Elephas maximus indicus: one gene and its partner. The protein of the gene in region 1 purifies or fractionates together with the protein of each later gene. This does not show direct contact. Links are inferred from orthologs where the notes say so. Each region holds a gene or a part of one and is shown on either strand. Other genes may lie near its edges.

Evidence for each region.
Region 2: the proteins of TCEAL1 (region 1) and KDM3A purify together in Homo sapiens (affinity purification with mass spectrometry; 3 studies listed by BioGRID and IntAct, counting the BioPlex papers as one, with this or other methods). This does not show direct contact. The link is inferred for Elephas maximus indicus from reciprocal best matches to the Homo sapiens genes TCEAL1 and KDM3A.

The regions. Positions count from the first base shown.
Region 1 is NC_064846.1:54,545,787-54,561,695, forward strand, and holds TCEAL1 (transcription elongation factor A protein-like 1), read right to left. Parts: upstream 7,736-15,909; coding exon 7,211-7,735; 3' UTR 5,499-7,210; downstream 1-5,498.
Region 2 is NC_064835.1:48,086,034-48,102,453, reverse strand, and holds the start of KDM3A (lysine-specific demethylase 3A), read left to right. Parts: upstream 1-9,707; 5' UTR 9,708-9,809; exon of another isoform or gene 9,810-10,427; 5' UTR 10,428-10,457; coding exon 10,458-10,643; intron 10,644-16,420. UniProt on the Homo sapiens protein: Histone demethylase that specifically demethylates 'Lys-9' of histone H3, thereby playing a central role in histone code.

The DNA of each region.
Region 1 (15,909 bases):
GGTTCATGCTTCCCCCATCTGTGCCCTTCTTATGCCATTTTTCTAGAATGAGTAATTCCCTCAGGGCCCTGTAGGGTAAAGAATTTAACTTTACCCAAAGAATTTGGTGTTTATCCTTCCTGAGAGATAACCTCTAAAGCCATTGCCTTGGAGTCAATTCTGACTCATAGTGACCCTATAGCTTCCAGACCACACCTGAGGATTTATGCTAATGAGGTGACTCAGGTGGGGGCTGGCCAGGCCAGAAAGACCACTTCATAATATCAGCTGATTTCAGCCCCATTGAAGGCCCTGCAGTGGAAAGCTCCATGCGCTTTTTGGTTGGTGAAAGACATCTATGCACATGGGAGGGTTGTTGTTGTTAGGTGCCATCAAGTTGGTTCTGACTCATAGCAACCCTACTGGACAGAGTAGAACTGCCCCACAGCGGTTCCAAGGAGCAGCTGGTGGATTCAAACTGCCGATCTTTTTGTTAGCAGCCACGGCTCTTAACCACTACTCCACCAAGGCTCCCACGGGACAATACCTCATCCCCTTCTGAGACACGGAAGCTCCGCATTGGGAACCCTCCCAGACCTTGCCCTATGCATCTCTTCATTGTACCCTTTTCCCTATAATAGTTTCCTGTAATTATAGCACTTTCCATGAGTTCTATGAGTCATTCTAGTGAACTACTGAACCTAAGGGAGTAGTGGGAAACAACAACAGGTCAGGACTGAGGGGCCTGGGGACCCCTGAGTTTATGGCTGGTGTCCTGAGAAGATGGGGGAACCCCTGAATTTATAGCCAGCAGGTCAGAAGTGAGGGGACCCTGGAAACTCCCAAGCTTGCAGCTGGCATCTGAAGCCTTGGGCTGACTTGTCAGTCTGGAGGACTGTGTCCTTTACCTTGTGAGCTCTGACCTGGTTCCACGTGATTCGGGTCAGGAAGCGGTGCTGCATGTGTAGCTGGTGTCAGGGCAGAAGTGGAACATAAATAACAAATTCATTTGGATTAATCAAGAAAGTTTGGTGTCAGAGAAGTGGAATTTGATTTTTTTCACACAGGCCGGTACTGTAAAAGTCTACTTCACATAAGGGATTTGTTCCTTAGGATGTTTGTGGAATAGAACACAGGCACTGAGAGCCATAGTATCCAGCCCTATGTAGCACAGACTTGACACTACTGTTGCTTCTGGAGAGAACCAGATAGTTTAGTGGAGGCAGCCACTGTATCAATCCATGTTGTTGAGGTTCTTCCTCTATTTTACCATGAATGATGGCCTTCTCCAGAGACTGGTCTCTCCTGATAACATGTCCAAAGTATGTGAGACGAAGTCTTGCCATCTTCCCTCCTAAGGAGCATTCTGGCTGTACTTCTTCCAAGACAGGTTTGTTCATTCTTCTGGCAGTCCATGGTATATTCAATATTCAATATTCTTCGCCAACATCATAATTCGAAAGCATCAATTCTTCTTTGGTCTTCCTTATTCATTGTCCAGCTTTAACATGCACATGAGGTGACTGAAAATACCATAATACTCGCATGTGATATTAATATTGTCCGATAATTTCCACATTCCATTGGATCACTTTACTTTGGAATGGGCACATATATGGATCTCTTCCAGTCAATTGGATCCAGAGCGAGCAAAAGCCCATGAGCCTTGCCACTTATGTTTGATGTAGGCCACATGCCCTAAGAAACTCCCTTTCAACTGATTGGCTACGCACAGCAGATCCCATCATGGAGGTGATCACACTGTATCAATTCTCATCATGGAGGTGATCACATCATCATACTACTGCCAAATGACTGAGAATCATGGCCCAGCCAAGTTGACACACAACCTTAGCCATCATATACCTCAACACATTTCCAAACACCCCCTAGGGAGCAGTTCCATCCCGTTTGAGAACCACTGATAGAGATTATCATAATTTGTTTAAACAGCCTTTAATGATGAACATTTAGATTATTTCCAAACTCCCACTATTTCTAGCATTATAATTGTTGTTGTTATCAGGTGCCGTCAAATTGGTTCCGACTCTTAGTAACCCTAAATACAATAGAACGTAACTGTGCCTGGTCCTGTGCCATCCTCACAATCGTTGCTATTTTGAGCCTGTTGTTGCAGTCACTGATCAGACAATTTGTACCACTGCTATTCATAAGGTTTTCACTGGCTAAGTTTTTCAGAAGCAGACCACCAGGTCCTTCTGCCTAGTCTTAGTCTCGAAGCTCTGCTGAAACCTGTCCACTATGGGTGATCCTGCTGGTATATGAAATACTGGTGGCATAGCTTTCAGCATCAGAGCAACACATAGCCACCAGAGTATGACAAACGGACAGACGAATGGGGGATTTCTGGCATTGCCCCGATAAATATTTATATACAAATTGTCCTAAAAAAAGATCGTATAAACTTTTTACTGCCACCAGCAACATATGGCAATGTCTTTTTCTCACCTCCTTCACAATATAGGAGGAGTCCCTGAGTGGCGAGGACCGTTCATGTGCATGGCTGCTAACTGAAAGGTTAGAGGTTTTAATTCACCCAGAGGCACCTTGGAAGAAAGGCCTGGCAATCTACTTCCAAAAAATCAGCCACCGAAAACCCTATGGAGCATAGTTCTACTCTGACACAGAGAGGGTCGCCATGAGTGTGAATTGACTTGATTGCAAATGGTTTTCCCAATAAACCAAACCCTTTTCCGTCGAGTGGATTTCGACTCATAGCAACCCTATAGGGCAGAGTAGAACTGCCTCATAGAGCTTCCAAGGCTGTAATTTTTATGGAAGCAGACTGCCACATCCTTCTTCCCCAGAGTGGCTGGTGGGTTCCAACTACTGGAGAGAAGGAGAGAAGGAGTGTGCTCTCTCATTGGAGGGGAGCAACTAGAAGTATATAGCAAGGTGTATATAAATTTTTGTATGAGAGACTGACTTCATTTGTAAATTTTCACTTAAAGCACAAAAAAAATAACATCCTGTACTCAGAAAACAAGCCCTAGTGGCACAGTGGTTAAGTGCTTGGCCGCTAACCAAAAGGTCAGTTGCCATCAAGAGGCAGATCTAATGAACTCACTGCTTCATAATCCGGTATTGTCTTGGTAAAGAGGAAATGAAAAACAAAGTTCATTTTTATACACAGATTATGAGGCAGTGAGTTCATTAGAATCCCTATTCTGTAGACACAGAAATACAGGGTGGAGAGAAGGAGTGTGCTGCCTCATTGGGTGGGGGAGCAACTAGGAGTATATAGCAAGGTGTACAGGAGTTTTGTGTGAGAGACTGACTTCATTTGTAAACTTTCACTTAAAGCACAAAAAATATTAAAAAAAGGAATCCCAATTCTGTTTGAAAAATACATAAGCGTAGAAAAGAATAGAAGGATAAACAGTTGGATTCTACATTCATTCATTTAATTCACAAATATTCACAGGGTGTCTACTATGTGCCAGATGCCATCGGCCATAATCCATTTTTCCATCCCAATCTCTTTCCTTAACTGGACACTTACATCCAACTGCCTAATTGGCACTCCGACCTGGAGCAAGAATAATAATGTGAGAACTCCTAAGTGCACAAATCAACAAGATACCATACTCAAGTCTAAACCAATTATTCCTAAGCCCAGGAAAGCTACCATCTAAATTAGAGGCAGCGTGGTAGAGTGGGGGAGAACATAGGGTTTGATACTGGTAATTCTGAGTTAGAACATAGGATCTGCTTCTTTTTATCTGTTTAGTTTTACTCCTCATTTGTAAAAATAATTGAGTTAGTTTAGGTTAGTATTTTTGAATAGGGGAGGGGAGAGTCGCTAGATGTTTTACAAGGCCCCTGAGCCTGATCCCTTCCACACTGCCTCTCTAGAAGGGCTCCCCCTCTTAAGCACTGTCTCCTAAGAGCCTGGGGATGCTGGTTAACAGAGGGCTCTCTCTCCAGGGCCCTAGACCCTCAATGCTTTCTGCTCTGGAGCTGGACAGCCAAGTTTGCTGCTTGGACATGTGATAACGATACCAGACTGAGCAGAGAGGTAGTGAGGGACTTCACCGGACTCTGAGAGAAGGGGCAGTCCCTTTTGTTCCAACCCCAAGTTACCGGTCAGACCCAGTTCAGACAACTGCTTGGTAAGGACTATCACAACCAGTGCTTCCAGTTAGGAAGCTTTGGAGCTTCATCTTCTCCCCTACAAAAAGTTCCCCGAAAGAGAAAGGGAGGAGGGAAAGGCTCCTACCTGCAGCAGGGACAGTCCTTCTCCAGGTATGTCTGCCCAGGGCAGCCTGGCCTAGGTGGGCTTGGTGCCTGCTGCAGGCTGGAGCAGAAACACCAAGGTCAGACCCACCCCTGGAAAGCCATGTGGCTTGAGGGAGCTTGTCCACATCCTGCTTAAGCCCCCAGCCCCGGCCCACACACCAAAACAAACCAAAAAAAAAAAAAAAAAACCCACTACCATCAAGTCTATTCCGACTCAGAGCAACCCTATAGGATGGAGTGAACTGCACCATAGGGTTTCCAAGGAGCAGCTGGTGGATCTGAACTGCCAACCTTTTGGTTAGCAGCCAATCTCTTAACCACTGTGCCACCAGGGCTTTTCTGAACACCCACTAAAAAACCAAACCCATTGCCGTTGAGACCACTCCGACTCATAGGGACACTCTGAACACCCGGGGGATGGATTTATCCTATTTTGTAAAAGGTCACAGTAAGCCTTAGCTCACTCTAGCAGGAATTCCAGCCCCAAGAGCATTCATCGGGCTGCCACAACCTTGAATAATGGTCTGGAAACATGAAGAGACGTATCACAGAGTGAAAACAATAAAAACAGAAAACAAAGCCAAGGGTACAGAGCTTATTTTTTTGTGAGCTGATGGCAGAAGGAGAACTTTGAGTTCCTTTCTGATAAATTTTACTCATACTGGAAGGAAGCAATGCAAGGCATATATGATGTTTAGGCATAGAAAATACATCTTGCTATTATATTGTCTCCCTTAGCTTTTTGTGCAATCTTGCTTTACTGCAGGAAATCTTTTAAATTTCATGTAGTACAATTTGTGAGGCTGTTACTTAAAAATATGCTTGGACAGGACTTTCACTCTTAATTCTGATACAGACTTCTATTTTTTTCTTCTATTTATTTCATAGTATATCCTTAGGAAAATCAGGAGTATATAGGTCAGTGGCCCTCCACCTTTGGTGTGCTAATTTACAGAAAAGCAGATTTAGCAGGCCTAGGGTACAGCCTAGGATTCTGCAGTTTTTAGAGTAGAATTCAGAATTCTGCAGTTTTTATAATAGAAACACTGGTATGTTAATTTTAATGTTGAACATGGAGAAACAATTCCTCCCCCACTGTGTTCCTTTTGGAACTGCAAATTATATGTTCTAGGGAACAAACACACTTACCGAAGCTTACACAGTCAATCAAGGACAGAGATGATTCAAGAAATCAAGGTGCCTGACTGCGTCATAATTTGAAAAAAATATTAACACACCATCTGTGTTTCTAGAATGACCAGGATCAATAAAAGTCTTCGGTTTTACACGGATAGTTTAATGGGGAAATAATCTGATACATATATAATACTTCAATGTTTTACAAAGTACACTGGCATGTTTCCGGTTAATACGGGGTGGGGTGGAACTGGAATGTCCTAAGTTTTAGTCTCCTCTTTAACTTATACACATTGAACATGCCAGCAGAATTCATAAGGCATGCCTGTTAGAAGCCCCTGGGAGAGAGCTCACCCTAAGGCAAGTTAGGCAATTAAAACCAGTGGCATAGTGGTTAAGAGTTAAGGCTGCTAACCAAAAGGCTGGCCGTTTGAATCCACCAGATGCTCCTTGGAAATTGTACGGGGCAGTTTTACTCTGTCCTATAGGGTCACTATGAGTCAGAATTGACTCGACAGCAACGGGTTTGGTTTGGCTTTTTTTATTCTTGGAAATTACCTGGGAGGGAGGTTCAAATTTTGAGTACACTGCATGGTGTCTTGTACACAAATCTGTCTCCCAGCCCAGGTCCCGCTGGACTCATGTTTGAGTCCGATAGAGAAAAAGGAGGCTGTAAGAAGGGGGAAAAAAATGGACAAGATAATTTTGCTAAGACTTCTTTAAAAAGGACACTGATGTCTAAACAGCACTAGAATGGTAACCACCTGAGTAAGCGTAATATTAAAGCTGGAAGGGGCACATTCTCTGTGCCTCTGTAGGCTACACAGTTCTATCACAAGACACTCCAGTACAATCAGTGAGGCTTTGCACCTTGAGGGCTCCAGCACAGCAGCAGTGATGGGGCCCAGTGGAAGGAGCAAGACCCAGCAGAAGAGGCTGCTATGCCTTGCAGACACAGCAGTACTCAAAGGAAGAACAGGAAAGGAATAGAATGTGACACTCACCTGGAATCTCACAGGACTTGTCTGTGAGCACAGGTGAGGCTCCCCTCAGGCACCACCCCATGTATGAAGGGAATTTATAGCATCTGGGGGTCCGGAGTATGCAGGTGGGGAAAAGAGACAAACATAGCTCACATGATCTTTACCTCATGTGGTTCCACAGAAGCTCTGCAAGGCAGGTTTTATTCCTAATTCAACTGGGAAAAGACTGACCCTTATACAAATGTAATAGGTATGTGGTTTGTATTTTTACCTAAGAGAGTCAGAAGAAACATGGGATTTACTTTTCTTTTGTTATGTTTTCACAAGTATTTATTAAGTGCCATATTGTCTTCATAAGCTGACAGGTTTTTGAAAACTGCTTCACATTTTTTTCATTATATTAATTTTTTTTTGCAACACAAGTGTGTTCATCTTGAAAAAACAAACAAAATAAATAGTTTTAAAAATGAGAAATTCAGATAAAGCAAAAATTAAAACAAAAATCACCTATTATTTTATCAGCCACTGTTAAGCTTCTGATGCATATACTTTGTTTTCTTTGCATATTACTATATAAATATACATATATTTTTAAGTGGAATACTATATATACTTTTTGAAAGCTGTTTTTTCACTTCACAATACATAATATACATCTTCATGCTAACAGATGAAATTCATGACTGAGGGAGACTGGCAGATTATAGGGGAAGAAAACACTTTTATGCCAGTCACAAAAGGAAAATAAAGCCACACAAAAAGTTAAGAACACAGCAAAAGGTATATACGGAAATGCAAAGTTCAGGTGGCAGTACTACTACCAGGCAAAACAGAACTCAAGGCAGAACCCATTAAATAGGATAAGGGCGGTTCCGTTTTGCCTTCCAGTGCATTATCAGTAGTTTGTTTCTTACTCTTTTCATCTCTTCCATCTCCTCTGCTACCTTTATCATCTCCTCATTGCTTAAATTCTTGCCATGTATCTCCCCTCTAAACTGTGGGCGAGAACGAGCCAGCCTCTCCTTAAAACTTCCTTCCTCTAGTTTATGTTTTCCTACTCCACAAGGAGGCTGCTCCATGGGAGGACGCTCCTCAAAAAGGTACTTCCTGGAAAGTCGCTCCTGGGGGCGCTCCTCCGAAAGGAGCACCTCAGGAAGGAGCTCGGGAAGGAGTTCCTCGGGAAAGAACTCTTCCTCGTCCTCCTCCTCCTCCTCCTCCGAGGACTGCTCTTCTGAAGACAGATCCTCCTCCTCCTCCTCCTCCTCTTCCTCCCCGGGAGAGTGCTTTTCGGGAGGGTGCTCCACCGGAGGCGGTTCTTCAGTGGTCTTTGGCGCGCTATGTGGCTCTTCTTCATTTTCTTTGCATGGCTTTTCCATGTTGAGAATGCTAATTCTTTAAACAGTTATTCTGAGAAGACAAGAAAGGGAAAGTAGAGTCGGAATATTTGGTGGATGGGCCAACAACCCTGCAATGGGTTCCAGTAGCTGCCTTTTCGGGATTCGGGGCCCAGGCCCCAAACCTACGCTTACCGAGAGCCTCCCGGGCTCTCCTGAGCCCGCCGCGTCTCTTCCCTTCCCTCAGGGTCGCCCCTTCCTTCCTTCCTTCCCGAAATCCCACCATTTTCCCAGCAGGCTTTGCCACAGGCCGCGGCCAGCCGCAGTGATAGGGGCGGGGCGGCGGGGCCGGCAGACGGCGTTTGGTTCAGCGCCATCTCTGGTACTCCCCGCCCAGTCCGCTGCCCACCCTTTTCCCACCTGGACCTCTCCTGGCGGCTTGCTCCTCGTCGTCTTCTCTTTGAGGCGCCCCGCTGTGACCTGCGGACCAAGACGCGAGACGGGGTAAGGGCGGGGGCGGGGAGGCGGGACGACCTAGCAGACACGCCCCTCTTCTGGGCCGACTCCGCCCCCCACGCCAGCGTCCCCCCCTTCTGGGACTCCTCCCCTCACACAATCCCCGGATCAAGCCGTGGCCTCGGTGCCGCTGCTCTCCCCGCCGCTCGACGCTCTCACTCTTTATCCCCCACCCCAGGCGGAAAGTGGGAGCAGAGAAATACTTAGGAACTATTTCCAAGTGTGTCTCCTTCACGGGGCCTTACTCACTTCCCCGTTCTGCCGCGAGACCATTTTCTGCACCGAAATGTGGGCGCGAGGGGGCGGGACTGAGGCTTAGGGAAAAGGCCGGGAATCTCTACCATCCGGATCCTAGGGGTTACTAGGCAGCACCGACACTCACGCTGATTTAAGGGGGTCGAGGGAACTTACTTCCTTCTGCTTTCCCCCGGGACCAAAAGGCAATCCGGAGATTGGTGTCCGGATAGGCATAAAGGACCAGGACAAGAGGGACTTGGGCCGACATAGGTTCCCGGTCACGCGAGGACCGCACGTCACCGCCGAGCTCAGATCCCCAGTTTCCACTTTGACTGGCGCCCATGCTGCAGCAGCCAGCCAATAACCCCTGGTCCGCAACACACCAAGCGTTGTTACTCACCCCTCTCTTTATGTTTGCGTTTTCCTGGTTACCAGAGACAATCAGCATCTAGTCCTAGGGGTTGTTGTCTCTTCCTGTCTGCTACTTTCTCTGATAATACCTCTCTTCCCCACCTTCCCTTTCTCAGCCGCCAAGGCCCAATTATTTCCCCTGCAGTCTAGATGCTGCACCTTCATTAATCATCATATCCCATTTCTCAGTTTTCATCCACATCCGTAACCACATCTTATCTGTGTTGCCAGGTGAAAAACCCAGGCTCTGCTTAGTGTGATTTGTTACAGCCAATAAAACAAGAGGCCGAGGTGGGAGAGGAGAAAGACACCTTTATTTCATTGGACAAAGAAAGGAGCAATCAGGGCTGCTGCTTCCAAGACTGTTCACAGGCAGCTTGGGGAAGTGGGCTTTTATAGAGAGCAGACAAGGAAATGCAAATTCATCATGAATATCCAGGATCCACCTTCACACAGGCGCTCAGAGTTTGAAGATGACTATGCATGTTCTTTAGACAAGGGTTTGATCCCCTGGAATGGAAGGAGAGGTTGATTTTCCTTCATTAGGATGTTAAGTCTCCACCCAGAAGTGGGTCGAGGCCATCTATGGCCCTTCCTGTAGTTACCTTGTCAAGGACAATTTCAGAAGAAAGTATATTCTGCTTGGTGTAGGGGAATAAGCCAGAGCAGAGAAGGGCTGGTCTCTGAGGCTGCCTGCCTCATCCATGTAGGCGCTATCAAAATGTTTTCACATCTTCTTGCCACTTTCATGGGAACAATCTTTCACATTTCCTTGACATCTATATTTTGGTTTTTTGAGCCCCCAGACCTATATCACAAATAGAAGCTCCAGTTTATTTTAGATAAAGAAGCAAATTAAATTTTTTATGTTTAAAAATATACTCTGATAAAAAAAGACCCTAGAAAGAATTAAGTTTGTAAAGTATGTAAGTCTATAAAGACTGAATAATTTTCATAAGTCAAGATGTACTTTTGTCCATCTAAGTACTAGTCCAGAAAACCCATTTATTAATCTGAAATGGGAGAAGTCTTCGTGGATAGCATAGCATTATTATAAAAAAAAAACTTATGAAGTAGTTTTATTGTTCATAACTGAAGGCAAATTTTGCTGGGACTCTCAATTCTTAACCAGCCAACTCTTGGTACTGCTGGTTGAGAAAGATTATATTAATTAATTAAATCAGCAAATATCTGTTGGGTTCAGCAGTCCTAGGACCCCAAAATATAAATGCAGCCCAGAAGACATTCAGTATTAAACTGTATAATGAATCTGTTGACCACACACTGAGTACCAGCTGCTGTCGAGTTGATTCCCACTCATGGTGGCCCTGTGTGTGTCAGAGTGGAGCTGTATTCCATAGGGTTTTCAGTGGTTGATATTTTAAAAGTAGATCTCCAGCCCTTTCTTCTGAGCCACCTTTGGGTGAACTCAAACTACCAACCTTTGGATTAGTAGCCAAGCATGTAAACCGTTTGCACCACCCAGGGATGCTACACACTGAGTGTTGTTGTTGTTTGGTGCTGTCGAGTCGATTCACGAAACACTGCCCAGTCCCGCACCATCCTTACAATCATTGTTATGCTTGAGCCCATTGTTGCAGCCACTGTGTGAGTCCACCTCGTTGAGGGTCTTCCTTTTTTCCGCTGACCCTGTACTGTGCCAAGCATGATGTCCTTCTCCAGGGACTCATCCCTCCTGACAACATGTCCAAAGTATGTAAGACGCAGTCTCGCCATCCTTACCTCTAAGGAGCATTCTGGCCACATTTCTTCCAAGACGGATTTGTTCGTTCTTTTGGCAGTCCATGGTATATTCAATATTCTTCGCCAACACCACAGTTCAAAGGCGTCAACTCTTCTTCTGTCTTCCTTATTCATTGTCCAGTTTCACATGCATATGATGTGATTGAAAATACCATGGCTTGGGTCAGGAGCACCTTAGTCTTCAGGGTGACATCTTTGCTCTTCAACACTTTGAAGAGGTCCTTTGCAGCAGATTTGCCCAGTGCAATGTGTCTTTTGATTTCTTGACTGCTGCTTCCATGGGTGTTGATTGTGGATCCAAGTAAAATGAAATCCTTGACAACTTCAATCTTTTCTCCGTTGATCATGATGTTGCTCATTGGTCCAGTTGTGAGGATTTTCGTTTTCTTTATGTTGAGGTGTAATCCATACTGAAGGCTGTGGTCTTTGATCTTCATTAGTAAGTGCTTCAAGTCCTTTTCACTTTCAGCAAGCAAGGTTGTGTCATCTCCATAAGGCAGGTTGTTAATGAGTCTTCTTCCAATCCTGATGCCCAGTTTTTCATATAGTCCAGCTTCTTGTATTTTTTGTTCAGCATATAGATTAAATAGGTATGGTGAAAGAATACAACCCTGACGTGTACCTTTCCTGACTTGAAACCAATCAGTATCCCCTTGTTCTGTCCAAACAACTGCCTCTTGATCTAACATACTGAGTAGCAGGATTAATATCATGCTAACATACGCAACTGCCATTGCAAGTATATACTTTTTAATCTAATAGTGTTTTATGATCTTTGATCTCATGTCTGCATCTCATCTAGTACTTACAACAGCCTGGGTACTACTTTCTCATGCAGATGTCTTTTCCTCCAGAGAGCAAACTACCTCTCTTCCCCTCTCTGTGAGGATCCTGGGGTGGTTTTATATTTTTCAAACCCAGATTGTCCAGGAAGTTTCCAAACAAATTCTTATGTGAAATTTCCCATTATAATAACGTTTGTTGCATTTCTTTGACATCTTACTTTGTATTGCGATGGCAGCTAGACCGATATTAGTACACCTTTATATCTTTTCCATAACTTTCTTAAATTTTACAGCGATGTGTGCCTTTAAATCCAAGTTTCACTATGCCTTCTTTATTCTTTCAGCAAGGGTTGGAGTCTCACTTTTATGGTTTCTTCCCAAGAGGAGTCCCATTTTATTCACTTATTCATTTCCATCCTTTTTTTTCCTTACATCCTATGATGGAAAACTACCTACCTTATAAAACATCCCATTGAAATTTCAGGCAATTCTAATCAAAGTTATTGTTTATTTTTCCCCTTCCGTTGAGCTGAAATCTGCCTCAAAGTAGATTATATACATTGGTCCCAGTCTGCCCTCTAGAATGGTAAAGAACAAGTTTAAAATGACAAAAGTACCTTTTATCCTTGATAATATGAAACTGCCAGGGTTTATGTCCTGGTTCTGACCCTTTCCATCTGTGAGACATATTAGGAAATCTATTTTTTGTGACTCAGTTTTCTCATCTACAAAATCGAAGACAATAATAGTACCTGCCTCATAGGATTGGTCCGAGGAGTAAATGAGACAATACGACATATAGTAAAGGACCTGGAACAGTGCCCAGCACGTAGAAAACACTCTATTAGCATTAACTATAATAATAACAATATGACACAGAACTAATAGTACTACTAATCATCACTCTTTTATTACTCACATTAATTGAGCACTTATGCCAGGCATTTTGCTAAGCACTTTCAGTATACTATCTCATATAATCCTTAAACAGTTATATTCTCACCAAGACTTATTTTTTTGAGGTTTAACCTTCCCAGTTATTTTAGCTGTTTCTGACTTGGTAACATTTTTTCCAGGTTACTCACCACCTTGCATGTTCCTGAATTTATAAATGGCTTTGAGAATACAATATTTTGCCTAGTGTAGAGCACTATTAGCCCTTTCAGTCTAGAATAGACACTGTAGATTTATTGCTGCATCCTAAGAGTATAGTAGATTTTGTGGATGCCATATCACACAGTTGAATCCGGTTTAAATTGCAGAACTATGGGTTACTCTATCCCTTTTCCGTCTGTGTCACTATTTTCAGCAGAAGTGGTTGGGAAATACAGGGAAGTAACACATGTAAGAAGGTATACTATAGGGTTTCGTAGTCATGTGTGTTTATTAGAAATTGATTCTGTGTTGGAAGTAACTTTGGATTTGAACCAAGGGTGGCTTTTCTGGGCTTTCAGTGCCCATTCCTTGCCCATTGCACAGTCGTAGAAGTAACATGCTGACCCTTCTTTGAGTCTTGCTGAACTGCCACACATCATACGGGCCAGTGGAGTTCTGTGCTCACGAGGCATTGGAAATGCTATGCGCAAATGGGCCAACAGAAACAGCAGACACACATTGTGTGTTATCTCCTCTTGCCAATGTCTTGATTACTGCAGCATTGTAGGAAGGCTCAGGAGTCCCTGGGTGGCACAAACAGTTAAGCGCTCAGCTACTAACTGAAAAGCTAGCACCTTGAGTCCTCCCAGAGATGCCTTGGAAGAAAGACCTGGTGATCTACTTCCAAAAATTCAGCCATCGAAAACTCTGTGGAGCACAGTTCTATTCTAATACATAGGGGGTTGCCATGAGTCGGAATCAACTAGATGGCAACTGGTTTGGTATGAGGTCCCTGGGTGGTGAAAATGGTTTGCTCTCGGCTACTAACCAAAAGGTTGGCAGTTCAAACCCATCTGGCAGCACTGCTGAAGAAAGGCCTGGCGGTCTGCTTCCGTAAAGATTATAACCAAGAAAACCCTATGCAGCAGCAGTTCTACTCTGTGACATATATGGGGTTGCAGTGTTTGTTGTTGTTTTTGGTTATAGGAAGTCTCAAAGTCAGGTATCGTCAGTCCTCCAGTGTTCTTTCTCAAGATTGTTCTTTATGAATTTTAGAGTTTAGCCTGTCAATTTCCACCAAAAGTCTTCCTGGGATCTTAATTGAAATTACATTGAATACATAGATCAATCTGGGAGAGAGTTGACAATATGACTCTTCTGATAAATGAACATAGTATACTTCCCATTTATTTAGGTCTTTTTTCCTTCATTACTCTTTGCAATGTATTGTAGTTTTCAGTGCACAATTATTCAGATACTTCATAAAGTTTATCCCTGAGTATTTCATGCTTTTTGATATCATTGCTAATAGTATTTTGAACATTCATTTTCTAGTTGTTTATTTCTAGTGTATTAAATATAATTCACTTTTGTATATTGAACTACTGTCCTGAGACCATACTAAATTCACATATTAGTTCTAATAACTTTGTAGATTCTTAGAGCATACAGGCTCATGATTTTCCTGCAAATAAAGAGTTACACTTCGTCCTTTCCCATCTGTGTAACTTTTATTTTATTTTTTTGCCTTACTGCACTAACTAGGATTTCCAGTACATTGTTGAGTAGCAGTGGTGAGAGCATCCATCCTTGTGTTGTTTCTGATGATAGGAGGAAAGCTTTAGTCTCTCACTATTAAGTATATCAGCTATAGTTTTATCATAGATGCTTTTTTTTCAGGTTGAGTAATCTCCTTTCTATTCCTAGTTTGCTGAGAGTTTTTTTTTTTATCATAAGTGGGTGTTGACTTTTGTCCAATGCCTTTTCTGCATCTATTGAGATGGTCATATTTTTCTTCCTTTATTCTGTTAATATGTTGAATTATATTCATTTTTGAATGTTTGATCAACTTTGCATTCCTGGGATAAGCCTCACTTGGTCATAGTGTATTTATTATACTTATTACATATTGCTGGATTTAATTTCCTAATTTTGTTGAGAATTTTTGCATCTGTGTTCATGAGTTCAGTTGGTGTGGAGTTTTCTTGTAATGTTTTTTGTTTTGTTATCAACGTAATTCTGACCTCATTATATATAGAGGAGGCCTCTTCCTCTACTTTCTGAAAAAGTTTGTGTAAAATTGGTATTATTTCATCTGTATATTATTATTATTTATATTTTTAAGATAATATTTTATTGTGTTTTTGGTGAAAGTCTACACAGCAGTTTAGATTCTCATTCAACAATTTCTACGCAAGTTGCTCAGTGACATTGTTTACGTTCTTCACAATGCGTGAACATTCTCATTATTTCTGTTCTGGTTGTTCCATTTCCATTAATCTAGTTTCCCTGCTCCTTTACATTATCGTTTTTGTTTTAAAGTAATTGTTGACCATTTGGTCTCATATAGGTGATTTTGTAAAGGATCACAGTACTTACAGGTGATACTCATTTCTTTTTTAGCCAGTTTTGGTTCAAGATTTGAATGGTATTTCAGGGCAATAGCCTCGGTCTCGGGAAGTCCAATTTCAACCATTTCAGTAGGTTTGTTTTTTTTTTTAAGGAATTTGAGATTCTGTTCCACATTTTTATCCCATCCTAGCAGGGTCCATCTATTGTGCCCCTGATTAGAACTGTTGGTAGTGGGAGCAGTGCACAATCTAATTATGGTCTCAGGGTAAATGATGCTCTGGTTTGTGTAGACTGTTTGTCCTATAGGCTAGTTTCTTCTTTGAGTCTTTGGTTTCCTTCTTTCTCTTTTTGCTCCAGATTAGTAGAGAGCAATAGTTGTATCTTAGATGATCGTCCTTATATTATTTCATCCTTAAATGTGTGATAGAATTCACGAGGGAACACATCTTGGCCTGGAGTTTCTTGGAAAGTTTTTAATCGCAAATTAATTTTCTTTAATATACGTGTGCTGGAACCAGCTTATACAGGCTAATGAGAGCAGATTCCCAAATCCATGTTCAATGATGTCATATTGGTAGCTTGAAATTGACCATGTTGGAGTATTTATACCACAGAAAATGAAAAATGCACATATCAAGATTTTTTTATTTTCTTCCAGAGACCTGGTGGTTAAACACCACTCTTCTATTCAGGTTTTCTATTTCTTTTTGAGTGAACTTGATAATTTGTGTCTTTAAAGAAATTTGACACATGAACCAGAGACTACATCATCCTGAGACCAGCAGAACTAAATGGTGCCTAGCCACAACTGATGACTGCCCTGACAGGGAACACAACAGAGAACCGCTGAGGGAGCAGGAGAGCAGTGGGATGCAGACCCCAAATTCTCATAAAAAGACCAGACTTAATGGTCTGACTGAGACTAGAAGTACCCCAGACCTTCTGTTGGCCCAGGACGGGAACCATTCCCAAAGCCAACTCTTCAGACATGGATTGCACTGGACAATGGGTTGGAGAGGGATGCTGGTGAGGAGTGAGCTTCTTGGATCAGGTGGA
Region 2 (16,420 bases), on another chromosome or scaffold:
TATCATCTTAATCTCTTTAATAGATAATTGATTTTAAACAAAAATAACAATGCATTTTGGGGTTCGCAGCATATATAGGTGGCATAGTGGTTAAGAGCTACAGCTGCTAACCAAAAGGTCAGCAGTTCAAATCCACCAGGCACTCCTAGGAAACTCTATGGGGCAGTTCTACTCTGTCCTATACGGTCACTATGAGTTGGTATCGACTTGACGGCAACGGGTTTGGTTTTTGGTTTAGCATATATAAAAGTAAAATGCATGAAGATCAAATAGCATAAAGTACCAAAAATGGTGAAGTATGAAACTCTAAAACAGTAATGATTAAGCTAGCAAAAAATGTCAGGATTCACTTTTACAGAACTCTGGAATGGACTAACAATTTACAACAACCAGGAAATTACAAAATGAAGAAGCTGCTAAATTATAGCAAGAGTGTTGTGACATTTTAACTTTTCACTTGTCTCCAGGTATTTTCTAAGTATTTAATAATTTCCTTTGTAGTTTCTTCTTTTAATTGTTGGTTAAAAATATGTTTAATTTCCACATATTTGTGAATTTTCCTCTTTTCATTCTGTTGTTAATTTCAACTATTCTATTTGGTCAGGGAAGAGGCCTTGTCTGATTTCAATCTTAAAACTTATTGAGACTTGTTTTGTGACCTCATATAGGGTCTATCATGGAGAATGTTCCATGTGCATTTCAGAAGACTGCTGTCATCAGGTGGAGTCTTTTGTACATGTTGGTTAGGCTCAGTTTGTTTATAGTGTTGCTCAAGTCCTCTATTTCGTTTTGATCTTCTGTCTAGATGTTCTATCCATTACTGAAAGTGTGGTATTGAAGTCTCCAAGTATTACTGTGAAATAGGCTATTTATTCTTGCAATTATGTCAATGTTTGGGGGTCTGCTGTTAGGCGGATATACATTTGTAATTGTTATATATTCTTCATAGGTTGATCCTTTTACCGATATATAATGTCCTTCTTTGTCTGTTGTACCAATTTTTGACTTAAACAGTATTTTGTATGATATTAGTATAGTCATCTCTCTTTTGGTTACTATTTGCATGGAATATATTTTTTCATATTTTCACTTTCAACCTGTTTATGTCTTTGTATCTGAAGTGAATTTCTTGTTGATGGCATATAGTTGGATCATTTTAAAATCCATTTTGTCAATCTCTGCCTTTTGATTAGAGTTTAATCTACTTATTTTTAGAGTAATTACTGATAAGGACTTACTTATGCCATTTATTTTCTGAGTGTATTATACCTTTTTTTGTTCCTCATTTCCTCTATTACTCCTTCTTTTGTGTTTAGTTGGTTTTTTATAGTAAATTATTTTGATCTCCTTGTCATTTCCCTTTTTTTTTATTGTGATAAGTACATACGTAACAAAGCATTTGCAATTTCAACATTCTTCACAGGTACAATTCAGTCACATTAGTTAGTCATTATGTTGTTCAACCACATCTTAGGCTGGGTTTTCTAGAGAAGCAAAACCACTGAGAGAGAGAGAGAGTGATTTATAGCAAGGAAATGGCTCACATGGTTATAGGGGCTGGAAAGTCCCAAGTCCGTGGGTCAGGCTGGAGGCTTCTCCTGACTCACGTAGCTGCAGGGCTGGTGAATCCAAGATCAGCAGGTGAGACAGCAGGCCTCTGGCTCACAGGCTGCAGAGGTCAATGAATTCCAAGATCAGCAGGTAAGTTGTTAGCTCAGGTTCCAAGAACTGGAGGTCAGATGAGGATCCAGAGCAAGCAGAACCCAGCGAGCTTTGCCAGAAAGTCCACATATATTAGATTAAGGCCGCACCCCCAAGGAAAATCCCTTTTGACTGATTGAGTGCTCATAGATGATCTCATTATGGAGGTGACTACATTATATCAGATCTCATTATGGAAGTGATTATACCATTACATAGCTGCCTAATTACATCATAATTGCCAAACCACTGAGAATCATACCCCTGCCAAGTGGGCACACAGCCTTAATTATCACAAACCATCATCACTATTTGTTTCCATTTTTCATCACCCTTAATATTTTTTTTTAAACAGGAACTCCCCTAAGCAATGAGTCTCCCCTTTTCCTTCCGTCCTGCCAACCCATGCTAATTTTGATCTCTATACACTTGCCTATTCTAGATATTTCATATAAGTGAGATCACATAATATTTGCCTTTTTTGACTGACTTATTTCATTCAGCATAACATTTTCAAGGTTCATCCCACATGCATCAGGTCTTCATTTATCTTTATGGCTTAGCAATATTCCATTGTATGTAAGCACCACATTTTAATTATCCATTCATCTGTTGATGGAATCAATATCCACTTAACTTAGTTATCTAGTGCTACTATAACAGAAATACCACAAGTGGATGGCTTTAACATAGAAAAATTTATTCTCTCACAGTCTAGGAGGCTAGAAATCTGAATTCAGGGTGCCAGCTCCAGGAGACTTTTTCTCTCTGTCAGCTCTGGAGAAAGGTCTTTGTCATCAATCTTCCCCTGGTCTAGGAGTTTCTCAGCACAGGGACCCCAGGTCCAAAGGATGCATGCTCCTGGCTCTTCTTGTTTGGTGGTAATGAAGTCCCCATCTCTCTGCTTGCTCCTCTCTTTTATATATCAAAGAGATTGACTCAAGATACAACCTAATCTTGTAGACTGTGTCCTGCCTCATTAACATAACTGCCTCCAATCCCGCCTCATTAACATCGTAAGGGTAGGATTTACAACACACACAGGAAAATCACATCAGATGGTGGACAATTGCACAATATTGGGAATCGTTGCCCAGCTAAGTTGACACATTTTGGGGGGACACAATTCAATCCATAGCAGACATTTAGATTCTTTCCATCTCTTCCCTGTTGGAAGTAGTGCTGCAATGAACACTGGTGTACAAGTATCTAGTTGTATTTGTTTCCAGTTCTTCTGGGTATATATCTAGGAGTTGGAATTGCTGGATCACATGGTAATTCTATGTTTAACTTTTTGAGGAACCGTAAAACTGTTTTCTACATTTTACAATCTCACCATTTTACAGTCTCACCAGCAATGGATAAGAATTACATTTTCTCCACATCATCGCCAACACTTGTTGGTCTCCATTTTTTAAATCATAGGCATCTTAGTGGTTTTTTATTTGCATTGCCCTATATGAGTTTTTTTTTTTTTTTATATGAGTTGGAACTGACTCAACGGCACTGTTTTTTTTTTAATGACTGATGATGTTGAGCATCTTTTCATGACCTGCTTCTTGTTTCCTTTTGTGTGTATGTATTTTATCTTTTTTTCTTTGTAGTTACCATGGGGATTACATTTAACACCCTAAATTTATACCATTCTAGTTTGAATCAATAGCCATTTAAATAACATAAAATATTCTGCTCCTAAATAGAACTATCTTCTCCTTTACGCTGTTGTTGTTCTAAATTACACCTTTATATCTTCTGTCCCCAACAACATAGGTTAATAATTATTTTTTGTACTGTCTTTTAAATCATGTAAGGCATAAGAAGTGAAGTTACAAACCAAAAATACAATAATATTGGTTTTATATTTTTCCATGTAGTTACCTTTACCGAAGATCTTCATTTCTTCATATGGCTTCAATTTACCATCTAGTGTTCATCACTTCAATCCAAAGGACTCCCTTTAGGATTTCTTGTGGTGCCTATATAGTGGTAACAAACCCCTTCAGCTTTTGTTTATCTGGAAATGTCTTAATCTCTCCCTCATTTTTAAATATCACTTTACCAGATACAGAATTCTTGGCTGACAGTTTTTCCCTTTCAGCACTTTAAATACATCATCCCACTGCCTTCTGGCCTCCATGGTTTTTGATGAGAAATTGACTGTTACTCTTATTGAGGATCACTTCTTTGTGACAACTGGCTTCTCTCCTGATGCTTTCAAGATTCTCTTCATCTCTGGCCTTCAACAATTTGATATTAATATGTCTTAGCATGGATCTCTTTAAGTTTATCCTTTTTGGAATTCATTCAAATTATTGGATATGCAGATTCATGTCTTTCATCAAATGCGGGTAGTCTTCGCCATTATTTCTTCAAATATTTTTTCTACTTCTTGTATCTCTCACCTCTCCTTCTGTAACTCACATAATGCTTACATTGTTATGCTTGATGGTATTCCCCATATCATTTAGGATCTGCTCACTTTTTTTTTTTCTTTCTGCTTTTCAGACTGGATAATTTAAAACTTCCTACTCACTGATTTTTGTTTTCTTCTGCCTACTCAAATCTGCTGTTGAACCTTTCTAGTAAAGTTTTCATTTCAGTTATTGTCCTTTTCAGCTCTAGAATTTCTATTTAGTTCTTTTTTTATAATTTCAATCTCTTTATTTACAGTCTCAGTTGGCTTATACATCATTTTCCTGATTTTCTTCAGTTCTTTGTCTATGTTTGCCTTTAGCTCTTTGAACATATTTCAGGTAGTTGTTTTAAAGTCTTTGTCTAATAAGTTCAGTGTCTGTGCTTCATTAGAGATAGTTTCTGACACTTTATTTTGGCCCTTTGAATAGCCTATTCTTTCCTATTTCTTTGCATGTGTTGTGAATTTTTGGTTGAAAACGAGACACTTGACTATTAAAATCTGGTAACTATGGGAATCAGGTTTTCCCTTCCCCAGGGTTTTTTTTTTTTTTTAATCTGTAGGAGTCTATCAGTTTAGTGACTTTTTAAAACATCATATTACAGAAACTAGGAAATATGGTTAGTGAAAGCATGTATTATAGCCACTGGAAATGCTGTGTTAATCATACGGTAACTTTTCATATATGTGTGGGTTTATGTATTAACTATTTCCATATTTCTGACAATATTTCATTCATTGAAATTACAGCTTAACTTGAAAAGAGTTAACATCTTTATCAAGTTCTTCTATATATGGAGATGGCATTTTTTCAAATCTTTTATGCAAGTCAGTAAAGGTTTATCTTTTTTTAATATACAGGTTTTTGTCATTTCTTGTATTTATTATTAGGCAGTCTAGTTTTTATTATCATAAATGATTTCCTTTTTTTCTATTATACATTCTAATTGATGTTTGCTAAAGAATAGGAATTCTTTTGAGTTTTGTTGATCTTATATTGTGGAACCTTTTTGCCCATTGTGTTAGTTCTAACAATTTTTTTGGTTAATGTTCCTGAATTATCTACAAATTGTGTGTGTGTGTGTTTTCTTTCCAATGTTTATATTTTATTATTTTTCATATTCTATTGTATTAGCAAACTTCATTACAATTTGAATAATAGTGATAATAATAATAGTGGACATCCTTATCTTATTCCTAACATTTGTGGAAATTCTTCTAAAATTTTACAATTAAGTATGATGTTTAAGTATATTTCCGGTACATCTTGTTTCCCAAGTTATGGAAGTTTTCTTCTATTCATAGTTTGCTAAGCGTTTTTATAATGAATGGGAATGAAGATTTATAAAATGCTTTCTCTGACTCTATTGAGATAATCATGTGTATTTTCTCCTTAATCTGTTTGTGTTACTGTTGGCTGCCATCGAGTCAGCAACTTATGGCAGCTCATGGGGTCCTCACTCATGGCAACCCCATGCACAACAGGAAGAGACCATTGTGATCCATAAGGTTTTCACTGGCTGCTTTTCAGAAATAGATAGATCTCCAGTCCTTCCTTCCTAGACTGTATAACTAGAAGTTCTGCTGAAACCTGTTCAGCATCACAGCAACACACAAGCCTCCACTGACAGATGAGTAGTGGCTGTGCTTGAGGTGTACTGGCCAGGAATCAAACCTGGGTCTCCCACATGGAAGGTGAGAATTTTATCACTGAACCATCACTGCCCTTGATCTGTTATAGAACTAGAGCACACTAATAGGATTTTAAAATTAACTCTAAATTTCAAAAATAACACAAGAATTCATCCATCTTATAAAAATAAGAGAATTACAAATAAAGCTAAATCACTTTTGACTAATACCCCCAATTCTAGTGTACACTCCTTAATACCACTAACCACCATTATGAGTTTTAAAACATACATTATTTATATATATATAATATATAAAGTAAATTTGTATTATTTATAATTAAAAACCCGTGACTGTTGAGTCAATTCCAACTCAAAGCGACCCTATAGGACAGGGCAGAACTGCCTCATAGGGTTTCCAAGGAGTGGCTGGTGGATTGAAACCATTGACATTTTGATTAGCAGCCAAGCTCTTAACCACTGTGCAACCAGGGCTCTGTTATATGTAAGTAGAAAAAAAAAAAATTTTTTTATATATTAAATAAATAAATGTCATATACTTACTATATAAAATATATGGTACTGGGGTGTGTGTGTGTGCTTAAATACAGGTAGTCCTCAACCTGTGATGTATTTGAGTTATGACGAATTGCACTTACAACCATTAGTTTTGTACATCTTATCGTTAGTAATATGTACTACATAGAATGTTGTAGTGTGTAATTTGCTTATGTTATCATTCTCATGCCAACCCCCAAAGACAAATAAAGATTAGATTTATAAAGATACTGATAATAAAAGGCAATAATAATGAAAACTAAAAAAATAAAATAATGAGGCATTCACCTTACATCAGAACTGACTTAACAATGAAATTGTCGGAACAGAACCCCATTGTAAGTCAGGAACTACTTACAGTACCAAATGCAACTCTCTTTTTCATTCAAAATATGTTTGGTGATCTGTCTTTACTGGTACATCTATATATCTCTCATTCCTTTTTAAGTGCTCTATAGCATTCCATTACAGGTATCAGATTCCTTTTATTCACTTTATTTATTTGTTCCCCAGTTGAAGTACTTAGAGTTCCAAATTTTCACAACCACAAACAATGCTGAAATGAACAACCTTCTAGATTCTCCTAGTTCATATGTGTGAATGTTTTTTAGGAGGAAAAACAAGTTTTCATAGAGCTGATTCCAACTCACAGCACTCTGTGTGTTAGAATAGAACCGCGCTCCATAGGATTTTAATGGCTTATTTTTCAGAAGTAGATCACCAGACCTCTCTTCTGAACGACCTCTGGGTGGACTTGAATCTCCAACCTTCCTTTTAGCAGCTGAGTGCATTAATTATTTGCACCACCCAGGAGAGACTCTTTCCTAGCATTTTCTAGGACAGATATGTTCCTTGGTTTCTAGGAAGTTTACAAATATTTTAAAAACTATGAATGGGTTTTGAATGTAAGCATGTGCTCTTAATATTTCTAGTTTTCTAGGGAGTTTAGAAGTACTTTTAAAATAATGAATAGGTGCTGAATGTGAGTGCATGCTCTCTTAGCCTGTACTGAAATGAACATATAATTTTTCTCTTAAAATGTTAAGTAGTGAATTATAGTAACTTTCTAATCTTGAACTATCCTTGTATTTATAGGATAACCCCAATTAATCATAACGATTATTTTGAAATATACTGCTGGATTTAATTTGTTGATACATTTTATACAAGATTTTCCATCTATGTTCATAAGTATAATTAAACTATAGCTTTCCTTTCTTGTATTCTGCTGGTTCAGATGTGGTAAAATAGTTTTTCTAGTTTTATAAAATGCATCGGGTATCTATCCATCTCTTCTAAATTATGGAACCATGAATAGCATAAGAATTGTATGTTCCTTGACATGTAGTAGAACTCGTCCCTTAGCAGTTGCTTTTCAAATTAATAATTAATTATGTAACCTAAGTCCTCCATACTCACTTATTTTTTAAATCTAAGTGGTACCTGTTTCTTGGACAGATGGATTTAAATCTTCTACACCCTGATTACAAATTTGTCAAATTTTTTTCTCATAGTTCTGACAGTTTAGTCTTAGGTTAAGCTATGTTCCATCATACTAGTACAGGAGTTTATATTATCTTTGTGGACTTCAACTTTTATTAATATAAAACCCTTCCATCTTTTTAAAAGTTTTTTCTTTCAATTGTAGTAATATTACTATATTACTTTTCTTTGATTACCATTTGATTAAACCCATTGCCGGTGAATTGATTCTGACTCATGGCCACCCTATAGGACGGTGTAGAACTGCCCCATAGTGTTTCCAGGGAGTGCCTGGTGGACTCCAACTGCCCACCTTCTGGTTAGCAGCTGAACTCTTAACCACTATGCCACCAGGGTTACATGTGATTAGTAAAACTTTTATTCCAATTTTTTCAAGCTTCCTGTGGTGTTGTAGGAGTGTTGCTTGTGCTTGATTTATAGGTGTCTTTTGTTTTTAATCTGAAATATGTCTTTTAAATTTATGAGGAAAATTAACCCATTTATATTTATTGTAAATACTGATGTTTGGACTTCTCTCATTTTACTTTTTTCTATTTACCATACTTCCTTCCAGCTTCTTTTTCTTTCCTTGCTTTGGTTTCTGCCTTTTGCTGTGTTGGATTGGATAGATTTTCTCTGTTCCATGTTCTCCCTGTCTAATGGTTTGCAAATTATAAATTCAATTTAATTCTTCTAATGTGTATTCTTAACTTTAGGAACTTATTTAATGTTATATTTTCAAAACATTTATATTTCAAATCAACACCTGTAGTTAACTTGTAACCATAAATCTCTGGAATAAGTTTCTGAACTTTTTCTGATTCTGTTTCCACACTTCTAAAACTTGGAACATGAACACTTCCCTACTTATCTTGAGGATTAAATGTGATTCCACGTCAATTATCAGCTCAATACCTGTATAAAGAGGTCTTCAATGCCTTCATTCCATTTCTTCTTCATTATTCAGGGAAGAAATTTCCAGCCCAGAGCACACAATGACCTCTTCTCCTTCGTCCTTCAAAGTCACCTCCTTTTCACCTTTAATATCTCTTGCATCATTATTGCCCTCATCTGGTTTTTCAATTCCTTTGAAGTCTCAAAATATCTTCTCATCCTGTCTCCACATAAAAAATAAAAATAAAAAACCATTCTACACTGTATTGACTGGCTTCTTTTCCTCAAGATTTAATGAACATCAGTACCCAATGACTCTAAGCCTTTCTTCATTTTTCTTCCAAAATGGCGGACTTTAGACTTCCATGATCAGCACCACGTGCGTGCGCCTGCGCCTCCCGCGGCCATTTCACCCAGCAACCGTAGCTCCAGCTTCTGCTCTGCTCCTACAACACGCGAAGCGCCTGCGCACAAGCCCCCAGAGCACTGTCGCTCCTCCCTCTAGCTGAGTACGCCTGAAACCGCACGTTCCCCTCTTTCCCTCCCCCTCTGTCGCTGCACCGCCCTCGCCCCTTTCCTATGAGATTCTTCCGCCAAGTGGAAGGCCTATCTCCCTTCGACAGCCTACGCACTTGAAGAGCAATCCAATAGGCACATACAGCCCTAGGTTTCGCCATTCAGTTTTATCTGTGCGCCGTGGCATTTTTCCTTCGGAACCCAGAGTTGATAACCGATTTCACGGGACTTTTTGCACATCGTGAGGCAACGAATGTAAAGAATGAGCCCGTGGCGGAGGGATCTCTCGCTTACTCTCTGTGTACTTTAATTTAACGGGGGTCGCTCAGGAGTCGGAAGAGGGAGGAGGGGGAAAGGGCGGGGACAGCCAGGGAATTGTTTTTTTCTCTAGCCCCGCCCTCATGTAGCCAACCAATAGTGATGGGTTATCTCTCCACGAACCTCGCCCAACTCCTTTGACTCAGCCAATGAGTGGTGGAAGCGGCTCCGAGGGGGCGGGCCTGGGAGGTTGTGCGTGTCTTGTGAGAGCTGTTGAACCAAGTCAGAGCTAGAGTCGCTTGGCGGCTGGAAGCTGCGGCGGCGGCCACCAGTGACTCAGGGAGCCGGGAGGCGGGGTAAGAGTGCCGCGGCCTCAGCTGGGCGAGGAGGAAGAAAGGTGAAGGTGGCGGAATCGCTGGCCCCGCCGCCCCAGCGCCACGGCAGAGTCGGGGCCATCGGCGTCAGGGGATCGGCAGCCGGGATGCGAGGGGCAGGGGTGGGGGGCGGGGAGGGCCATCAGGGCAAGTGTCGAGCCGCCGACTAGGTCCCCCCTTTCCGCAGGGCCTCCCGGGGCGGGGACCTCCCCGGGCAGGGACCTGGGAGCCAGCGACAGGCCCTCTACACTGGGGGTCTGGGGGGGTGCTTGTTCTTTTCCTGGGTGAGGGGCGAACACTCTAAAATTTACTTACGCCGCAAATAATTGTCCCCTTACTCCCTCTGCGTTTAGGTAGAAGGTTTCAGAAACGGGAAACTTAAGAGAGCGCGGGTCACGCGGTGCCCCGCCGTGTTTGCGGTGGGGGAGGAAGCCGGGGTGGGGGGGGGATGGCACGGGCGGAGGGCTTGGTGCGGGGTCGCACCCGGCTGCCGCCTGTGCTTGCCCCCCAGAGCAGACTTAGGACCCCCTCCTCCCACGTACCCCGCCCTCTTTCTGGCCCCCTCCCACCGGCTGCCCCCACCTCATTTTGTTTTTGCAGGGAGGAGCCCTTCCTGCAGGCGTGGAAACCATGGTGCTCACGCTCGGAGAAAGTTGGCCAGTATTGGTGGGGAAGCGATTCCTCAGTCTGTCTGCAGCCGACGGCAGCGACGGCAGCCACGACAGCTGGGACGTGGAGCGCGTTGCCGAGTGGCCCTGGCTTTCTGGGACCATTCGAGCTGTCTCCCACATGGACGTTACTAAGAAGGATCTGAAGGTAAACAGGCTCCCCGGCCTAGGCAGTCGGACGTTTGGTAGTTACCTTGGTAACCGACAATCAGCCCTCCTTGCCCCACACACACCCTTTTTTGAAAACGGTGACTAGAAAGTTGGCATTGATCTGAGGGTGCAGAATACTAGACCTTGAAAGTCTTTGAAATGGTTGTGTAAAGCCGAGATGTGTTTGGCCTAGAGTTCCTTGCTGCTGTGTTAAATAATGGGTTTGGGGCTGCTCAGACACGCTTTGTTATTGCCCGCGCAATGCCTCGCTAGGGCTGTCTGATTGTTTTTCCGAAGCAGAAGCACTGTTGGTAGTATTAAGTTGGGCCAGGGGATGACGTTTGCAATCACATTGAGGGCTAATGTCTTGAAAGTGCTTTCCATAGGTTTTTTTATTTGTTCCTTTTAATTTATTTTATCAACTTTTTAAACCTTCAGACTTGTTAGAAGTGAAGGGTTAAGTGTAGAGGGAGGAGCTTAGTTTTGTTTGGCGTATTAAGGTGGGTGTCCGTTTGCGGTGGGTCAGGGCTCCAGTGGGTTCCTGGTTGCCCGTGATGAGCCGGTAGGTGGGTGTGGGATATAACCATATATGGAAAGGTGGGGTGGAGCTGCCCCATATATGGTGTGTTGGAGGAATGTCTTTGAAATATTGCACTTGGGTGTTTCGGGGAGGGAAGGAAATGGGAACAAGTGCAGCAAGTGATTTTTAATCGGAATGACACTCAGAACCTTTTTCAGTTTTTCAAAGAAGGACGAATCCTGGAGGTTCTCCCTAATAGTAGTATTGGTATGAAAAGATTGCCTGGGAACAACCAGTAAGGAAGCCATTTGTACCAACAAAGACTCCTTTGTGCAAAAATAACCAGATAAAAGTCCCTAACAAAGAGACTTAAGTGGTGATAGTTTGAAGTCAGCTTGTCAGAACAGAAGACGTTTGCACCCTGGGTAATGGATGTGTTGTTTTCAGTATTTTCACTTGGTCCTCATCTTTGCTTTTTCTTGGAAACTATGCTCAAATAAAGGAATCAAGTTTTAGTATTAGCAGTTTGAATATGTGTTGATTTCTGAAACACTGTTCGTTTTAACACTTTTAGGTGACAGTGCATACCCAGACCAGTATTAGTCAGTAAGGTCTTGTGGAGATAGGGATGTGTGGTGTTGAGCCTACACAGTGTGTCTTGTCTTCATATTTAGATGGAGTTGTGACAATTGAGCATTTAACCATCATCCTGAGCACTTCACAGCCATGACCTTTTTTAATCCTTATAGCAGTTCTTCAAGAGTATTGGCTCCATTTTACAGATGAAAATACTGAGACTGGGGAGATTAAGTATCTTGCCCAAGGTCACATTTTTAGGAATAAGTGTAGCCCAACCCCCAGTAAGGCTTGACTCCAGAAGCCGCCCTCTTAACCATTATTCTTCATGACCAAGGAATGTGCCATAAAAGGATTCCAGAAATACACTGTGAGGTTTGGTTTTTCTCCTTTTTACCTACCACTTGTTCTTGTAGCAAATCATGCTTTGATGTTTATAGAGGGAATGTGGTATGGTGTAGGGATGACCAACCTATTTGCTTTAGGCTAGTATCCTTTCTACAAAAAATGGGCTTTGTGTACTAGATTTCACTCATAGTTGTCATGGTTTATTTTACCTGCCAAGTGAAATTTTCTCTAGTGCATTTCTTTTTATCTGATTTGAATGGAAACAAGGTTTGATTTGAACTTTCCAGTCTTTGGTTCTTTGGCAGATGAAGAGAGAGACTAGGGGTTCCCTTCCCTGGCGATGATTGAGGACCTGTTGAGTTAGGCAGGAGGTCCCTTGTATGTATTCTTTTAAATTGTCATGTTCTTCCCCTCCCCCCCAACCTTTGAGTTGGTGGTGGTATTTCCAGAACGAGGAAATAAATTTAGAAAAAGGAGTCTTGTTCAGAGTTGTGTAATTAGCTGCGGAGTGGTGGAGGTGGGGATTTGAATCCAGGTTTGGTTGTGTGTCTTTTCAGCTGCACCCAACTCCCTAACTTGGAGATAATGGGGATTTCAATTCAAGAGCGTTTGACTCTATTTGATTTTTTCCTTACCTGCAGACTTCACAACTCAGCCCCCATGGAAGGTGCAGGTCTGTTGATTTCTTTTATCTAATCATGACTTACTGCTGCATTCCTCAGTTGAGTAAGAGATGAAGTAGCTGACTTAAGTTTAAGGCCCATGTTGTATTAACAAGGAAATAAGATTTAAAGCACTGTAATCTAATTGTGCTTGGTGAGATGCATGCAAGAACTAAGTAACAACAGAACTTCAAACAGGTTTGCTCTGGCTCAATCCCCTGCTGAGAATTTGCATTTCTAACAAGTTCCCAGGCTATGTTAATGCTGCTGGTTAGGGACCAGCTCTGAGAACCACCAGTAGAGCAATGGTTCTCAAGATTTATTATATGTGAGAATCACCTGAGGATCTTGTTAAAATGGAGATTCTGATTCAGTGTATGTGGGGTGGAAATGCAAATTCTCAGCAAGGGTTCAAACCAAAAAGAACCTGTTTGAAGCCCTAGTAACTGAAATCATGCTTACACCTGAGTTTTTGGGCATTGAGTTTTTTTGGGAGGTAAGATTGGGTGCTGAGTTGAATATGAATAAATAAAATTTGGGTAGTATGTTCCTGTTCTTCTAATACTAGTTCAACTTTGTACCAGCTTGCTTAGTCATTGTTAGCTGCAGTCAGAGTTGGCCCGACTTACGGCAGCCCCATGCACAATGGAATCAGACTTTGTAATCCATTGGGTTTTCATTGGTTGGTTTTTGGGAAGTAGACTGCCAGGCCTTTCGTCCTAGGCTGTTTTAGTCTGGACGCTCCACTGAAACCTGCTCAGCATCATAGCAATGTGCAGGCGTCCACTGACAGACAGGTGGTGGCTGTACATGAGGTGCATTGGCCAGGAATCGAACCTGGATCTGCCTCATGGAAGGCAAGAATTCTACTGCTGAAGCAGCACTGCCTTCTCTTGCTCAGTTAGTTGAAGATGATATTAATGAGGCCAAAGCTTGTTAAGTCTGTTTTACCTAAAGAGAGACTTTGTAACAAAGTTACTTCCTTAGATAATAAAAAGACAATGTGTCTAGTAGTTAATTACAAAGAGGTTAAAGTGAAGGTGTTGTAACACTAGATAACGATGATTAAGTGCTTTTTATGTGGCAAGTACATCATTTAATCCTCACAGATATTCTAGATAGCAGCCTACGTTTTTTAATACCAGAAATTTAGGTTTAAGTAAGTTAAGTAATTTCTTTAAAGTATACTTCCATACTTTTTTACACACTAGGCTTTAATATTCAGGTAGAATGAGGTTGTTTTTGAAGTTGTTAGCTGCTGTCAGGGTGGCTCCTGTGGAACAAAACACTGTCCAGTCCTGCACCATCCCCATGATCAGTGGCAGGGCCTGACCTGTTGTGACCCATAGCACTTCCATTGGCAGATTTTTGGAAGTAGATCACGAGGCCTTTCTTTCTAGTCTGTCTTAGCTGGAAGCTCTGCTGAAACCTGTTCAGCATCACGGCAACGTGCAAGCCTCCACTGATAGATGGGTGGTGACTGCGCTTGAGGTACATTGGCCAGAAATGAACCCTGGTCTCCCGCATGGAGGGCAAGAATTCTACCACTGAACCACCAGGACATTGTTTTGCTGGTCTCTGTACCCCAGCACCTAGAACGGTGCTTGGCCTACAGCTTATGCTCAAATATTTGAACAACGCAAGGAAGGAATCATAAAATTATTACCTCTACATGGAAAAGCAGTTTAGAAAGAATTTACTGATGGGGCAATGGCATTCTTTTCATCTGGAAGGACACAGAGCTTAGTTAGGTGTGGTCATATGGACCTCTTTAACCTTATTTTTATCTTAGTGTTTCTACGTGACTCTGTGGGGCAAGCTGTTTCTTAACTGGCTTTGTTCACATAATTAATGCATGCTGGGAATACCTTCCTTCCCCCTTGTATATCTGTGTTTTCCCTTCCTTTGAACCTGCCTTATTTCTTTGAGTCTTCTACCACATCTTTGTCCTCAAGGATGTCTTTAGCAAATAAATAGAGCCATTTTGTACAATTGGGTGCATCAACCAATGCCTAGCCTTTCATCATTGTGTACAATTGGAACTTGAACATTGGTGAATTCTCTTGCCAGTCAGGCAGTGTAAAATAAGAAACTCTTAGCACAGTGTATTAAAAACTGTTTACCATTTATAATTGAATGCCAGACTCTGGGATTTTAGGCAAGTATTTTACTTAGGTGTATGAAGACATAAATAGAAGCATAAGGGATTCATTTCTTTATTTGTGGAGTATTAAATGGTATCCAGCATCTACTGCTGAGCATAGAGTAGATAGGTAACTCAAAACTTCTTGACCAAAATCCATGCCATTTTGTAAGTGCCTTCTTTTGAACTCGGAAACATTCTACTTGTTTCTTTCTGATGGTTTTCATAATTCTGTACATATGTGAGATTAGTGTATGCAAAAAGTGGGAGTTTTGGGGCCTAGATATAATATTAATTCATATTTATCCTAAGGAGATTTTCTGTTGGGAAAAAAATTAGCTGGAAATAATTTGATATATCCAACATCTGCTCAAGATATTTGATCGGCTAATGAGGTATACATTTACAAAATGCCCTTCCAAAAGAGTGGCAAATTTGGAAATTCTAGGCAGCAAATTAGAGTTAATTGTTCTCTTTTGGGCATTTGGAGTCAGAAAGCATAAACAGCATCATCTCCTTAGTGGGCTGAGGGAGCGTGGCGGAAAGAGCCCAATTTGAAATGGGAGCTTGTTACATCTATCACGTTGTATGATCTTGGTCAAGTCATTTAGTCCTCCTGAAATTGAATTCATACCTGTATGTCTTTTTATAGAAATATCTGCAGAAGAGGCTTTTCAGACACAGGGTTGTATGTCTTAACATATAGAACCTCAGACCTTAAGGCACAAATGAAAGACACATATGGGTCTTGACAGGAAACTTCTGAAAGAATGTTGAAGAAAGCTCCTGATCTGTTGGTATCATTTATATAAAAAATTAAAAAAAAAAAATTTTTTTTTCCAAGCTAAAGTTAACGTAAATAAGTTAGTGTAAGTTTCCACAGTGTAGTGGTTATCACTTTCGTCTAACACGCAAGAGGCCCCTGGTTTGAGGAAACGAACTGGTCATTCTTTGGAAACCCTGGTGGCATAGTAGTTAAGTGCCACGGCAGCTAACTAAAAGGTCGGCAGTTCGAATCCACCGGGCACTCCTTGGAAACTGTGGGGCAGCTCATCTCTGTCTTATAGGGTCGCTATAAGTCTGACTCAATGGCAACAGGTATTTTTTTTTTTTTAAGTTAATGTGAATCCTTGACCAATGCAACCTAATACCCCCAAGTCATAAACTTAAATTATTTTTAAGGTACTAAACTTTTTTCCACATCACTCGAAAATTGGGATAGGAAGAGAGACCCTATCTGAATTTTGATTTAGGGTTAATCTTAATCTTTCAGTAGTGATAAGAATTGTGATGTTGTTTAAGTTTGGGGACACCGCTTAAGATCTTAATCCTTTACTTTTTTTAGCTGAATATTAGATAATGAAAATCCTCTCCTCCCCCACTCCTAATTTAAGAAGTGATACCCCAGTAAGATTTGAATTACCATGGAGGTCTTCAGACTTCTTAGTCTCCCTGCCAGATATTTTATGTATATTGTCTTTCTTTAATCCACCTAAGAATTCAATGAGGTGTAGGTATTATTACTT